2 linked regions of the Lepisosteus oculatus genome follow. The protein of the gene in region 1 purifies or fractionates together with the protein of each later gene. This does not show direct contact. Links are inferred from orthologs where the notes say so. Each region holds a gene or a part of one and is shown on either strand. Other genes may lie near its edges. The genes, in order: rcc1 and ranbp1.

Region 1 (8,210 bases):
GATACTCTGTCGGGCTTCTTTCAAGAGAAACTGGATGAGATAATTGGATCAATTAGCTTCTTGCTACCAAATGGGCTGAAAGGGCTAATTGGCCTCCTCTTCCTCATGCTTGTTTGGCTCCTAAATAATAAGAATGGTACAATTAAAGGAAGGCTATCGGTCCCATCTTGTCTAAGAATAGTTTGCCCAGTGTTTCGTGTCCTTAAATTCCACTGGAGCCTACCCTTACACCACACTGAAGATCCTTTATTTTATTAGAAATATCTGCTGGGTAAAGAAACAAAGTTGTCATAAGGTTTTCAAGACTCATTAAAGGTGAGGGGGGTGGAAGTCACTCACATTTCCAGTGTCGCTGAGACACACCGTGTGCATCCCTCCAGCTTCGGCCTGCACTACACTCTCCGGCAGGGAGACCAGCGCCGGCCTTTTCCTCTCCATCACATCCTCGCCCAGCCCCAGCTGCCCAACGTCCCCCTGCCCCAGCACCAGCACCTGCCCCGCCTGCTTCCCATGGGAGCCGTGGGACACTGTGGGAGGAGGGAACAGCTGGGATTATGCGACACGTCAGAGCAAGCACATGGTCAAGTGAATGCGCCTGGAAATCTGCCAAAGCAACTTTGCGCAAGGTTCTGCTAAAGAGCGGCAGGTAAATAAAATGCATGTCAGGCTTGTGCTGCAGACTATGAATTCTTCTTAGAAAAATGTAAATTCCCACAGGATACCGACTGATGCCCTCACATAGGTGCTTTAGAGTCCTTCAATGCAGACTTAACCAATTGAGGAATTCCGTGCAATGAGGGGTTAGGTGCAAAACGAAGTGATAATGTGAAATTATAGGAGCTTGGAGTGATTGTGGAAGGGAGTAAACTCACAGGTTCTGGTTATCTGTGCGGATTCCTGTAGGAGTGGTACATAAGGACTATGTATAGGTTGATGTCATTTGTGTAATGTTATATCTATTTTAATCTAATGCTTATTAAACATAGTTTTTGTATGTTTTTTGCAAACAAATCAGAAATAAGGTATAACTGTATTGTATATGAATGAGGAAAACACTTATAGTGTCATTCAAATACACCAGGCTTCTCATTTCGGTCAAGATCCTCAAGTTCAACTTGTCCTAATTATAGGTGAATACTGTTGGTATTAGTCTGACATTAACACTCACTGATCTAGAATTGGGCAACACAGGACATGCATGAATCGGAGCTTTAAGCAAACCAGTATGCTTATATGGGGCGCTATACTTCAGTCATGCACACATTAGCCCCAGATTTTACTTGATGTGAAGTTTACATCATATTTGGGATGCAAACATAAATACAACTACTTTACTGACTGCAAAAAACACCCAACAGAAGAATCGGATCATAAAGTAGAAGGAAAGAACTCTGAAAATGCTAACTTGTTTACAATAAAAGAACTCCTAATGGAATGCCTCCTCTGAAGATGTGTAGTTTTCCCGATGTACAGAAACCAGCAGTAATTAATAAACACCATTTTACAGCCAGAACTCTTCCCAATGCTTTTCAGCAGCCCCAGCATGAGAGGGCTACTATAGGTCAGAGAGACCACTGGACACTCAATGACCTACCTTTTACTTTCTTGGAGGGCTTGACTTCCACTGATGGGCTGGGCCTCTTTGCAGCCTTTTTTCCAGGCATGTTGGTCTCTTCTACTGTTAGAGGAGACAAACAGAAAATCAAACGTACAGGCCTTATACAGATCTTAACATGCAGTGCACACAGATATCACGACTTTGGCTACATATGTTAAGCAATATAGAGGCAGATATTACCGCTTGTCACAGGTAGTATAGGACCACTGCAGAATATTTGTATTTATGTCTCTGGACCATAGAACGCACGCCACTTAGTAAATATAGCTACAACTGATGTCCAACACCGACACACCATGCCACGTCATTGTAAAGAGATCCAACGACCAACAGGCGTAGACATTTTGATACTATTGATAATTAAAAGGAAACCCTTAAGTCAAAAACAATCATAACTTACTGAAAGGAGCTGTATATAAACGCGCCTACACCGCGATTACGCAGAATCATTCAGTTATCATGCAGCACCGAGAAGCTCAATTAAAGCAACTGCTGCTGTCTACGCGCATGGCCTTTGGTAAACATGCAAAAAGCTTTTTTAGGACTTGCAAACTAGCAAGTCGACAGAAAAACAACGTCACTCACAATGTTTCAGGGGTGGCGACGATAAAGAAAGTCCTAGCAACTGGACGAAAAATAGAGGTAAAGAGCATTAAATGCAATAAATCCCTTATCGCTACGAGGGGATAACCTCCTTAAATGCACATGAACTACAGCTGCCGGTGCAGCGATCCACGCGTTTGCAACAGATCTTCTGATTAAAAAAAAAATGACTGACAGGGGCTGATGCACGAAGTCCAGGAAGACCACAAAACAAAAACTGCTCTGTTCCCGTTGCAGATGCATAGGCTCAGAGCCTTATTTTAGGAAATGCATTTTTAAAGCATGGCGGTACTCGCTCCCAGTCATTCATTTCCTGGTTCACGGTGTTTTCGCGACCCGCTATTTTTTTTTTAAAAGGCCACGCGGAGCCATCCAGGTTTAACCAGGTCTCCCACACAACCCCATCATTTTTTTTTTACACACCGCAGTGCTCTACGAAACATTCATCTACTCTTAACATGTAATACGTTACCATTACTTTCAAGTCTGGCAGGATTACCACGAAGGGCAAATACATATTGAATAACTTTATTGGCACAATTTGAGCACACGTACAGGATAAGGTACTTTTAAAGTAACGTGCACAGAAAACCATGCGCAAACATAAAAAGCCTTTTATAAAGTTATAATATATCTAACCAAAAAGACTTTTAAAATAAAAGACACAAAGCCTTTTTGTCCCCCCGCTGGATACCGACAATTAAAAAAAAAACAGAAGTCATAAGAAACCGAGCCAATAAAATGTTCTGGAATTGTCTGTTCGCTATTTAAGTCGCGAATTTCGACTTTGACCGTCGGATATCACAGTTTATCTACAACCTTTCAGCTGTATTCACTAAAAAATACTGCGAGAATAACAGTAACGCGCTAGTTTATTGCCATACTTTACCACAGCCGAGAGTGTCCTGTTGTTAAGTTGAAAACCACACAATTTCCACTCTCCCTCTCCATGCGGCTGCTCCTGCCTGCCCTCTTAAAGGGACAGACACCTCTCCTTACAGCTCCTACACCGTCTCTGACGTTTTGGGGGGAAATGTTTGTTCATCAGGTGCTCCACACAGGTAAAAATGTAGATACATACTTATACTCTAAAGCCTAGCATATCTGCTGATTGGTGACAATCAATGGGTACAATCGCAGATAGAAAAACAAACAACGTTTATAAAATGTATACTAAGGATTTTAGATGGGATTATATATAGACGTACAGTGCCTTTTATAGAATATTGGATACAGTTATGGCCACAAAATATTTTCCTTTAGAATGAGTAACTAGGTACATTTCTGTGTTAACGGGGATGTACTGACAGGTTAAAAGAAGCAAATCATTTTAGTTGTGAACAGAAAAGGCTAAGGGTGGTGACCTGATTCTAACCTGATTTGGATTATTATATATCATTCTGTGTCCACTACACAAGAAAGACATTGGTGTTTTGAGATAAGTTAACAGAAAAACAACAGAGATATTTTTTCCTCTGACGGAACAATGCCACGTTGTGTTATGCCTGTCTTCTTTAACTTAACAATTGCACACTTCCCTAAATTTTGGGGGGGGAAGCGAACGGATAAAAAAGGATAAAAACAGCTCGTTTCTTATTGACACCAGCTACTCCCATTGGGGATGAAACAGTCAAATCAATAAATCAAAAAGAATGAAACAAAGTGATCTTTAATTCTTTCCCCTTGGTCAATGTTCACACAAGTCCTAAATTATGCAGTGTTACTAAGAATGTCTTCAGAACGATATGGTGAAGGTTAAGTCGGAGTGCCATCTCATTTAACTTTCACACGATGTACTCTTTCAAATGCACATGCGACACGGCGCTATTCACACCAGAATTTGGGTAAACAAAACCAAACCCGAATATCGCATGCAGAGATCACTCAAAGACACCCAATTCCCTTTCTGGGAAACAGTAAGGGGGCCAGGAACTGCGAGACAACTGTCTGCTGACAACCCACACCTTTCAACAGCTTTTAGCCAATCTTAGCAGATCCGTTCAGTTAAAAAGTTAAAGAAATCACTTAAATATTTCGTAGCACGAAAGAGGAAAAACACAAAACAGTGGAAAACAATTGCCACCCGTGATTGTCCTGAACAAAAAGATGTTAGACCCACTTAAATATAATTGGGATGATAAGCTTTTTGTCCCCTACTGTATATCTTGCCGCCAGATGGTAGCAAAGCTACAAGATTAGAATTGGCGGAACAACTGAAAACTCAGCTGTCGAGAGAAAGGGAATAAATCATTTTCACTTTCGGAGCTTTTCATCTTTCTCGCTTTTTAGAAAGGGCCAATTCATACAGCCCCAGTATGCATCTAACCCGTCTAGTTTCAATAAATGCTACAAAACCACGCGTCGCTCGCCTTTCAAAGCCAAGTGTTGGGCATATTATACGCAGCAGACAAATCTTTGTATTTTAGCTCAATTGACAGGTACACTGCACGAATCATTTGGTCGTCAATCGTTGATGTGGGAGGGCCATTGAAGACGCTGAACGTTTTTAGCCGCAAAAAAATAAATAAAAATCGCCTTGCAGCTCAGAAACGGACAAAAACAAATCGAGGGATTGTTTCAGGAGGAGTAACGATGTAAAAACCGAAATCAGGTTTGGGAGAATTCAGAGCACAAGACGGCAGACGGGTTTGTAAACTAGACAGCCCTAAGAGTCTCCTCTAGTTGGCAATGTTTGTATTCTTACACAGATGACTGTATGAGCCTGAAGCCAGCTCCTAGCCATGGCAGTGAAGTTGATTGTGAGGCCGTTTAAGAAACTGTTGGAATTTCTATCGGGTACATGACAACTCACTGAGATCAGGAGTTTTTCTTGCTGCTCTACTTTGATCTCTTTCTAAGGTTCCTTTTTTATGGTAACAGCTACCATGCCTGTACACAATATTCGAAACGAGTCTCTGTTAAATCTTGAGTACGATTGTCCTCTTAAACTCCACTGCTGTTAAGCCTCAACGATGTTTGGGGTTTTTTTTCTATTGCTTTGCTGCATTGGTTTGACGTGGACATTAAAGATGACTTTAAAAATGTGCATTTTTTTTACATTTATACAATTTATATTAGTATCCCCTAATCTTTATTTCAAATTAATCAATCAATCAAATTAGACAATCTGACTATTTTAAAGTGGTTAAGAAAGCTGATCAATTTAACTAGATGGCTGAACTGACATTTCATTTAAAATTCAATTTAAATAAAAAAAATAGAACCACATACCCTTTCCCAAAAGTTTAATTGACCTCATTATTTAACAAACATACCCTTGTTTAAAAAGGTTGCCTGTACATTAAAATCAGTTTTACAGCTGCATGATTTAGAGAGATTTTTTGGAATATGAAAGGACTAACGGGCTCTTTTCTATAAAATGAAGCTGAATGAATACGCAGTTAACTGTTCATTAGTCCATATGGAATCATTCAGACAAAGGACCAAGCATCCAAGAGGCGTCAGTTTTCACCAGCTATAACATTATACATCGGATCCCGTTCGCTTCAGCTGTTTCTTTACCCGTGTTGATAAACATGCACAATTACGAAGTATGTGGCCGCACTTTGCTTTTGATTATTTTCATAAGAGCTCCAAACTTCCCTCCGTTTTGAAGATGTTCAGACATGAACATATTCTCTCTATATACAAGAGTCTGTTGAGGTTTTCACAGTCGAGCCAATAAAATGAGCTCGTTTTTAAAAATATATCTACTAAAGGTATATTGAAAGAAGTTCAGTGGAGGACTATACTACAACAAATGAGACCAAGCAGTTACCCTCCCAACACACTTTTTAAAATCGAAACAAAAATGATTTAAAGCTGTGCTGAAAACGAGAATTCTTTTTGTCCTTTGAAAGTAATTTCTTGCTCTTTTATCTTGTATTTCAACGGTTATTTCCCCATCAATTACCCTTCGTCAATTAAATCCACTATTTGAAATAACCTGGCATTTTCCTATTTACTTTGTATTAACGGGTTTTATGGGCTGTCAATACACTGTAACTGTACAGTCATTCAGTGAATTCAATTTCTGCCACTATCGCTTCGTGCGACATCATTTTCTCATCTCCCACGGTGTCTTCAAAGCTGGGAATTTAGTTTGTAATTTTTGCAGAGCACATGGCAATCTTTTGAAGGTGTTAATTTATGCATTTGTTCTTGGACCCATAAGATAGGAGTCATCAGGCATACAAGAGGAGCCAAAAAAAGCATGCTCTATTTCCTAAAAACTTTTCTTTGCTCTTTTAAGAAATGCCATCAGTTCTTAAATGGTAAAGAAACGATGCTTGGAAAGAGGCATTCATATCATTGACCACACGGCGAAACCGCATATACCACACTTATCTTTAAATAAGAAAATTTGTATGAACAGTAGAAAAATGTGCCATTTTTACAACAAAAGTCCCGATGACCACGGCTGCCACACTTGGTATATAAGTACTATGATGTCTTTTCCTAATTACCTCTTGGTCATTTCCTCCTTTTAGGCTCGTATTCTGGGTTATAAATACCCAAAGGAGCAGAACTCATTTACGGAAGAAAAATAATATTCTGCCTTAAGGGCCCTGTATGTGCAGCTTCATAAGCCAACCAGCCGAATCCCAAGGGACTGGGTAGTGGAATACCGAGACTTTTACGAGAGAAAGCAGAACTTACCTAAAGGTTGATACAAGGTATAAGGCTAAGCTGTTCTTGGGGTTTAGGGCAAGTGGTAAAAGTATTGCTTTAGTGGTCACATGCTGGTTACGTTGCTGTGTTCTTTAACTGCTTTTTCCCCATCATTGATCATGCTTGGTTACTGAACTGGTGGTGGGTTCTAGGTTTGTTTGCTTGTTAATTGTGCACGCTTTGTGTACTGCAAAAGCCCTTTACTATGGCGTGTAAAGATTAACATTCTGCAACCATTTATCTTCTGTCACTGTGTTTCTAATTGTAAGCTATCTATATTCTACTCTATTCTCCGCATTCTAACAGAGACTGCACGTAATAGTCTCTTTTATAGTTTATTAATGCACAACACTTTGTGAAGAATGCATTGCCTGAAAGGCACTGTTGAAAATGGATTCATATCAAATAGACAACATGGACTTAATCCAGCAGAGTCTGTAGAAAACCTTAGCCCGACAGCATGATCAATCCCCCCCCCAAAACATATCCTCATACATAAGAAATATAAGACAAAAGAGACACTTTTCTATAAGCTTTTAATTTGATTCTGCAGTGGCTGTTAATTGCTAATTAGAGAGGTGCAGATATCAACTGCCTAAATTCCATAGCATTTCTTTACAAAAATTATACATCTGTAAAATAAAACAGGTGTTTTTATATACCAGTCCTTGTAGTGTTGCTGAACCACCAACCATTCTGTCATTAAGAAAAACAATGAAACAGCCTATAATACTTTTATTATATTTAAAATCTTTTTTTCTTTTTAAGATAGGAAGACAAGATATACAATGCATTCACGTAATCTACAGAATAAATCTATACAGCAGAGGTGAGGAACTTGTTTCCTACTGGCCCCAAAAAAGTACACTAAAACATTGTAAGTAAAAATGAAGAAAAATATGTTCCTGCCGAAATGATTTTCCCTGTCATCCATCAAAGAGGCGGATTCTTTTTTTCTGTAAAAACTAAGAGATCTGACCCTGAATGTTAGTCTTTTATTATTTATTTTACATTTACTGTAAAGGTTTAAGGTGCTGTGTTCTCTAGTTGCTAAAAGTTTCAGTCTGCACATTTGTTTTCAAGGGGGGGTAAATAAAATAAAAAGAACCAAAAAAACAGTTAAAAGCACTTATTGGACAGATTTTTGCATTTACTTCTGTCACAGTTTAACAAACACGTTTCACCGCTTGACAGATGATATGCATAAACTACATTCTACTTTAAGACTGAAAGTTTATGGCAGAAAAAAGAAAACATTCTGAAACAACCAGCTTTTCCTCCTATGGTGGCTGAGAATTTTTATACAGCCCCCCCGTCT
Region 2 (8,007 bases), on another chromosome or scaffold:
CCTACACGAACACTCACTCTCTGCATTGAGGAATCGGATGGCCAAGAGCTCAGGTTTGGGTTCTTCATCGGCGAAGTCCGCATGTGTGTTCCAAACCCAAGCCCGGTCACTTCCGGCGTTTGGCCTGAGTTCCATCAAAGGAGCGACTGAAAGAAGACCAACACTTGTTAACATGCAATTCACAACTCGCCAGCTTTCAGGCAATGCTACAAACAATGGCAGTTTTACTACTAGATTGAGGCCTAAATCTAAAATATAACAATGACGTAAATGTAGTTCCCCCATTACCCGTTTATTCATCCATCACATACCGTTCTTGTGATTTCATGTGATGTTTCGCTTGTAAGTTTTGTATTGTGTGGGAGAAGCCCAAGAAATTTCCGCAGTAGGGGAAATAAAGTACTTTAAATAAAGCAGATATTCTATTTTAATAAAGTATCTATCTTTTAAGCACGTCTTCAACGGACACAAAGAGCCACAGCACAAGAAAAGGCAAAACACCTACTGTTGTGGTTTGCACAGATTTTGAGAGTCCTGTCTCTCCTCATCAGCAGACGGATGGTTCCTTTCTCTTTGTGCCTCAGGAGCTTAACATCCCCGGTGCCCCTCTCCTTCCACTCCGGGGGGTCGTTCTCCGAAGCGAACCGGTACAGCTTTGCTCGCCTAAAGACGGGAAACACGCGCTGTGAGAGCAGCCTGCTCAACCTCAGGGCGATAAAAACTACACCACAGACCGAGTGGACATTCTGCGGCCTGCAAGTAGATTCCATCGTAATAACCACGCAATGTCTCTGTGGTGTTAAAACCATTCTTTGCATTTTCTTTACAAACCTGCCGAACTATAAACTAAGCACCGCGGCAAAATCTTGAACAATTTGGACGGTTGATGGAGGCAGGCAATGAAAATTTGCTCGTCTTTAAATGTTAGACTTTCAAAGGATTGTCCAAATCCTTTGCAGCCTCCTTAAAATTGCAAAGGGCGACACTTTCAAGCACTCAGAGAAACATATCTTTGAGACACACGTCAATGAAGAGGCCCGCAGGATGGCTTCGGCCTAAACAGGTGCTTTCTTACATCTTAAAGAGTTCCTCCTCATCCTCCTCCAATGTTTTCACCTCCTGCTCAGGCAGCGACACGATGGGCTCAAAATGAGGGTCGTGGGTAGACTCATCTGCATTCTCTGCAGTGGTCTCATGGTCTTCCTGTGTATCCTGAGAAAGACAAGAAGACTCGTTGACACACAGAAACCAGAAAGGCAAGTCCTCTTGAGTTCATTTCTCGGTGTGGATGTATTGTAACCAAAGCTTAAAACTCAAAACGAGACGTTTAATTCTCATCACAAGCTTCATTGCACAGTTAAGAGGAGAAACACACCCCACCATGACACAAGAATGTAAAAGCACAGGAAACGAGGGGAAATAAGTTAAAAATCTGGGAAAATGTCGAGGATTCATCAGGGGTGGTGTACATTAGAGAGCGGGGGGACGTTCATTACAGATCTAGCATGTGAACTAGCACAGTGTGCAACTACGCACCAGCACTATGAAGTGAATAGGGGGGATTTAGAAGATCCTGCTTTGGAGCGAGGTTCTCTTTGGAGTGAAACTGCTGTGGCAACTGGACATAATGCCACTAATGCTGAGTAAGGAGGTTCAAATTTTGCATGAGAAGATTCTTTGCCTATAGGCCTCAATCGGCTGCACTTGCATGCACATGCAACAATATAGACAATACAATCCAGACAGATTCTTTTTTTTTAACTCAAAAAGGTTGTGGTGTGTCCAAATGGTCTTCACACTCCCACCCCCCCACCCCCCATCTTGCGTTTCCTTGGCTGAACTGACTTATCAGCTATATTCAAAGCACATCATCATAGGGAATTAAAGTCCAAAAAAAATGTACAACTGGATGAGCCGTCGGTAGATCTGAATTAGAACATGCAGACGTGCACTCTAAAAGTCAAGCCTTTCCCTTACGAAGAAACCCATTGCATGGATTGTTTTAAAACCATAAATGTAAATACAAGGCCTTTTCTTTGACATCCAGCAGAATCCCTTTCGACCACAACTGTGCCGGCTTTTAACATCGGCATTGTGCTGGGCGGTCTGTTGCACACGATTTAGCTTAAACGTCTAGATAATAAGAAATGCAATCATTGTTCTTCAGTGAAACATGGCGAAATGAAAACCCCCTTGAAAAACTCAGGTCAATTTTTAATCAATAGGATATCTAGATCTGATGCCGTTACGAAAATAAAACGCAGCAGTTATTCAGCCCTTATAACTTCTAGAATTGCACCGGGGCATTTTTTCTACCTGCTGTTATCGGCTCATACGTTTTATGGAAAGACTCAAATGACAAAATAAACATTAAGTAAAAAAAAATGCCGAAACACGCCATTTGTGAGTGCGATGATGCGCTGGGACACTGCAACTTGCAGACAATGTGAGGGTCACGTTGTGAACGCCAGCAGTCTGCGTGCACCGCGATAGCCGCACTGGAAAGGCTGAAAAACCCCAGGAGACAAAATGCATCACACGGGAACTGATTTCAAAAACGTAAAAGGACTCTCAAAAATAAAAATTAACCCGACGATACAAGCGGAATAACCTGGGCTCAGCTAAAAGCTTAACCTGGCAGTGAAGGACGACGCAGGTGGACGTGTTTTAAACTTTTTTTAAACACAGCTTTCCAAATGCAGCAACAGCAAAAAAAAAAAAACTTAAGACACGGGGCACTTTGATGCAGAAACTTAGCTGTTTGACACCCCCCCCCAAAAAAAACCTCTAACCTGCTGGCCAGGAGAACGACATCAAACCCTCCACACCCCGGTCGGCTTTTAAAAATTTCCCCCATGATAGCCCGAAAAGAGAGATAAAACGCAATAATATCCCCTAAAACCGGCCTCTTGATCTTCCAATACCGGTTTTCTCGAAATCAGCAAACGATAAGACGCCCTGACGCCCGATCCTTACCTTGGTATCTGCCATGTTGTACAAGATGATTGCGGATTACGGAACGGGTGGCCGATGTTTAATTTAAAAACCGCCCGTGTCTGTCGATCCCTCTCTCTTCCTGCTGCTCCTTTCGCGCCCTGAAAAGTTCCTCCTCCGGCATTTACCTCACTCCCAGCAGCCTCCTCCCGTCGCCGCTAAATTACACCCCGACTTTCCCCCCCCTTTTCCCCTCCTTTCAATTTTAGACATAAAAACCTAAAATTAAAAAGCCCGCAGTCAGTGTTATTATTTCACCACGCAAATCGTTTTATAAATTAGCTTTCATTTGTTTCTATTTTTCACGTCTTGCCATTTGGCCCTAAAATTTTAAAATAAAAACTGAAAATGTCAAGAACCGCATCTCTTGTAGGTTATATATATCTAATAAACGTTTTTTTGTTTTTAATTCATTTAATATTATTTTTATTTTTCAGGGGCCTCCGACCTTGTACGTCACTTCCTTTACACTACAAATGCTAGTTTAAACATGTTTATTCCGTATTCTTTAGTTATATACTTGTGTAATAAACCATTTCGATAGAAAATGAAAATTATTTTTCTAATTAAATATATAAAGGTTTAAAATTAATCTCCCGCCATGCTTAGCGTTTGTAACGCGGCACTATTTTTCCGTGCTAACATGGTTGCTCACGTGTGCAGCTGAATTGAGTAAATGCGACAGTGTAGGGTTTAAACTTTTTTACTTTAATAGCGAGCGATAAGGTAAGCCGTCTTGCTTCATCACGTTTTATCCTAAATCGCTGGGGTTAAATAAGATTTAATACGTATATGAAGACAGCAAAATGAAATTATGGTCTATAAGCAATGCCATAAATGAAGTTAATTTTGCAAAGAACTGCGAACCAGACAGCACCAAAAAAAAAAGAAATGTAACAAAAAATCTTAAGTGAGTAAAGTGGAATTACTTAGTTATTTTTCTTGCTGTAAAATATAGAAACATAGTTACGTATTTTGCAACTTGTGGACTAAAATGTATTTAGTGTTATGGTTAACCACGTGAACTGCGAGTATTGAAGCAGGTGACAAATTTTCACGTCCTCCTGTGTTCTGTATTTAAAATCCTGAAAGGCAGAGTAATGTAAGACATTCCCTATTAACTTCCATGTTAAGATGGAAACAAACACAGTGAAAGCTAAAGAATCACAAGTGATATGTAGTACATGACACAAAAATAACACATCACAGTAATATGTGTGTATTTTTGTGTACTGAGAGAACATAGGAAAGTTTTGTTCTCAGACCATGGGTGTACCCCCAGTGTCCTGGCTAAATTCCACTCTGTCTGTGCACGATCTGGCCTCCCTAACATTTCACCCTTGACTCGATTGCTGAAGCAGTGTCTTGCTTCTCCACCTGATCTGCCCTACAGTGGGGCTGATGGCCCACAGCCGCTGCCACACATCAACGAGAGGTGATGGATGAACTGGGTGCTCTCCTATAGGTGAAGCACTCTGAGATCCATTGGGGGTGAAAAGTGCTCTACAGATGCAAGCCATTAGCCTTGTTCAGTTTAACAGATTATGTCACAAGGAGGTATTGGATAATCGTTTGGTTTTACAAAAGGAAATGTACCTTGAGCAATGATTTCTCTTCTTGTGTTTGCTCTCCAGGGTCTGGAGACATGACGGATGCAGCAGAAAGTGTGGTGGCGGGAGCGACGGAAGGGGATCGGGGTGAGTTCAAAGACGCATCCTTAGAAAGAGAGGCGCACGGGGAAGACAGCGATTCTGCGAAAGAGCCCCAGCCCGAAGGCGAGGAAGAGGAGGGCACCTCCAGCGTCTACCGCTACATCAAAGACGAGCTCTTCACCTCGGAGATCTACAAGGTGGAGATCCAGCACCTGCCCAGGTTCATTGGCTTCAACGACCTGAAGAAGTTTCTGGCCAAGCACGGCCTGACGCCGCACAAGATCAAGCTCTTGGGGCGACAGAACTTTGCCTTCGTCACCTTCAAGAGCCAGGAGGAGCGGGACAAGGCCATGAAGGCTGTCCATGGGCTGCTGTGGAAGGGCCGGGTTCTGAGCGTGCGGCTGGCCAAGCCCAAGGCAGACCCCATCCTGAAGAAGAGGCAGCAGCTGCAGCTGGAGGAGCCCGAGGGAGGGCAGGTTCCTGCAAAGCGCCACAGGGGAGAGGAAGGGACAGAGGAGGAGGAGCCACTCAGTAAGCAGATTGCAGATGTGGTGACGCCACTCTGGAATGTCCCTTATGAAGAGCAGCTAAAGAGGAAAGAGCAGGAAAGTGAAGGAATCCTGCAAAGACTGGCAAAGTTGGTAACTTAGTACTTTATTTGTGATCCAATGGGATGATTGCATGCCACTAAAAGCAGGGACCTTTACAGTCATTTACAGGACGGTTCGATATCTTTTTGTTTTTATTCCATGCTGACTAATTGATTTAATCTTGTTTTTTAATTACGCATAAATAGGTTTATTTTTAAGGTGTTATGCCTTTGCTTGCTCACAGCATTCAGGCCCACCTCTATAACTGCACCCATGCTTGGAATATTCTCCTTCCATACTAATGGAAGTATTAATATTACACCGTTAATTAATCCAACTGCATGACTGAGAGTGGTATGTAATCCAGAAGGCAGTAAGCCCTCCAGAAAGTGATTTTGAGACTCCTGTCTGCATCTTAAAATTTAAAAACTAAGTCTCTCGTGTCTTATATTGTCCGGAGAGCTACCTAGCAGTGGAATGCTGTGAAATCTGAGCTTCTGAGATAACCTGTTTTCGGTGATGCATGTTTTATGGTTGAGAAAGCAGCTTAATTTGTTTGCAGATAGCCATGTGTGGAAGTGTTCATACAATCATTTGTGTTGCTGCTAATGTATTGCTATTGGGAGCATGGAAAACTCCTTTTCAATCAAACAAAACTATTCTTATTTGAATCAATGACCACTGATCTTTTTCTTTCTTGATTCTCTTTAGAGAAATCGGCAATAATAACAAAGCCATGCTGCCTTGGCTATTTGTTCAGAAGCAGAAGTACAATAAAATGTGTTGTCCGCTGGAGGCCATTAGACCATCTCCAGTCCAGGTACAGTGGTGCATGCTGTTTATTGTTCCTGATCACTCACAGATTGCCTACGTTCTTGCTGCTCGTGGCAACCACAGCCTTACTGTTGAGTCACTCTGATAAGGTCATCATTTTGTACAGATTGGGCTGCCTGGCAACCTCAAATTCATGTCTCTTACTGCGTCAGCCTGTCATGTTAGCTATGTGGTCCAGACCTGGCTTCAGTGTTATCATCTGGCTGTGGAAGAGGCAGCCTGCCTGGCAGCTGTGAGCTTGGCTGGGTGATTAAGTAAGCTCCAGATGCACGCTTTCTTTCTGGCGAAAAGACCAGATGGTCTTTTCACTGGTTTGCTGTACTGAGAGTAAAAAGAAACTTATCACTCTTTTGTGTGCATGTTTTTGGTAAAATAGATGATCTGAATGTTCAGTATTAAATGTTTTCGTCATTTCAATCATGACCGAATCGCCTCATTACAGAGAGCTGATTCGGCAAAGGTGATGAGGTGATTAAAGATGAAATAACCTGTTGACCCGTCGGTCCTGGTGGGGGGGGGGGAAGAGAAAGAAAAACACAGGGAAGCAACTTGCTTTGTCTTCAAGAGAATAATGCCTTCATGCCATTGATCTGATAGAAGCTGAACTAGCTCGGTGCACTGTGGCTCACTATCTTGGGTGTTACCAAATAGCAGTTTCTAACCTGGCAAGATATTGCAGCCAAACCCAGGCCTTCAAAGGTAGGTCATGATCTTGGAGGCCGGTACTCATGATCCCTCACCCAGATTGACACATAATTGTTTTTAGTTTGAAGGTCTAGGTAGGAGTGTATAGTCACTACAGAATCCACTTGCAGTGATTGATTACAAGCAGACTGCACACTATATGGATGAAGCCCTAGAACTTCACTTGCTGTACTTTCTTAGGGTTTAGAATGTCCAGAATTCCAGCAGCACAATACATAGTAATACATTCAAGAACATTTTGTCTACATTTAGCCATTTGCTTTTCAATCTGGATGTGTGCTTTGGATCATTGTCATTCTAGAATGTACATTTTTTGTTAAGCATGAGCTTCTTGGCAAAAAGAAACAATTGTCTGGCCAAAATGTCCTGGTATGTATTGCAGTTCACGGTTTTTCTTATCTTAAAAAGGTCTCCTGGACAGCCCCAAAACATTAAAGATGGTGGGCTGGAGTGTTTTCTCTCTGACCTTAACCAATGTGTTTCATTATTTCATAACCCAGGTTAATGGGGAAATGTTCAGAGGCCTCAATATAGTTCCAAAGGTTTCCAAAGAGCAGAATGTTACTGTAGATTTGTTTTGAATTGGTGTTGAATTTAATTTAAAGGAATACTTTTAGACTGTTTTGACCTTCTTGTTTTCTGGAATTCATTGAATTATTTGCTTTGTTTCCATGCAATTATCCTAACGTTATAGCATTATTATCTGTAAGGGAAGCATATTACCCAATTCATAACTCACTCTGCTATATGATGTTTTTAATCATATTTCACCTGAGATATTAATAAACTTGAAGGGCATTGTATGCCTCATGAATGATAAACTGTACATATAGTTCTAGGTTACCAGGTTAGATTGTTTTGTTTTCAGTCAGATAAAGCAAAAGAAATTGTAATTAACTTATTTTTATAATGTATCTGGATAGCTGCTCTTGGATTTCAGTGTAACAGCGCAACTTTCAAGATTATTTAATGGTACAGGGAACCATTATCCAGTATGTTAGTTTTCCCAGTAAAAATAACAAGAAACCTTACACAAACTCAAAGAAGACTGAGGGGAACCTCTTCAGCACGGGTTCCTCCCACATTTTCGAGCTCTTACAGTGTTGGAGTTTTGCGGGAATGTGTTTAATCAACTGGAGATCTCCGGATGGGGAAAAAAAGCACCATATTCCGTCGGTGGATGGGCGGGGCTTCTTGGTGGCTTTGTTAACGCAGTGGAATTTTAAAGGAGT

The links.
Region 2: the proteins of rcc1 (region 1) and ranbp1 purify together in Homo sapiens (affinity purification with mass spectrometry; 3 studies listed by BioGRID and IntAct, counting the BioPlex papers as one, with this or other methods). This does not show direct contact. The link is inferred for Lepisosteus oculatus from reciprocal best matches to the Homo sapiens genes RCC1 and RANBP1.

Annotation. Positions count from the first base shown.
Region 1 is NC_090706.1:6,699,036-6,707,245, reverse strand, and holds the start of rcc1 (regulator of chromosome condensation), read right to left. Parts: upstream 3,201-8,210; 5' UTR 3,111-3,200; exon of another isoform or gene 3,106-3,110; intron 2,791-3,105; exon of another isoform or gene 2,694-2,790; intron 2,383-2,693; exon of another isoform or gene 2,204-2,382; intron 1,679-2,203; 5' UTR 1,665-1,678; coding exon 1,595-1,664; intron 528-1,594; coding exon 340-527; intron 1-339. UniProt on the Homo sapiens protein: Guanine-nucleotide releasing factor that promotes the exchange of Ran-bound GDP by GTP, and thereby plays an important role in RAN-mediated functions in nuclear import and mitosis.
Region 2 is NC_090717.1:3,014,515-3,022,521, reverse strand, and holds the start of ranbp1 (ran-specific GTPase-activating protein), read right to left. Parts: upstream 3,141-8,007; 5' UTR 2,992-3,140; coding exon 2,977-2,991; intron 1,213-2,976; coding exon 1,076-1,212; intron 664-1,075; coding exon 506-663; intron 147-505; coding exon 18-146; intron 1-17. Other genes in the region: trmt2a (tRNA (uracil-5-)-methyltransferase homolog A), read left to right, coding at 4,640-5,283, 5,948-6,056. UniProt on the Homo sapiens protein: Plays a role in RAN-dependent nucleocytoplasmic transport. Alleviates the TNPO1-dependent inhibition of RAN GTPase activity and mediates the dissociation of RAN from proteins involved in transport into the nucleus.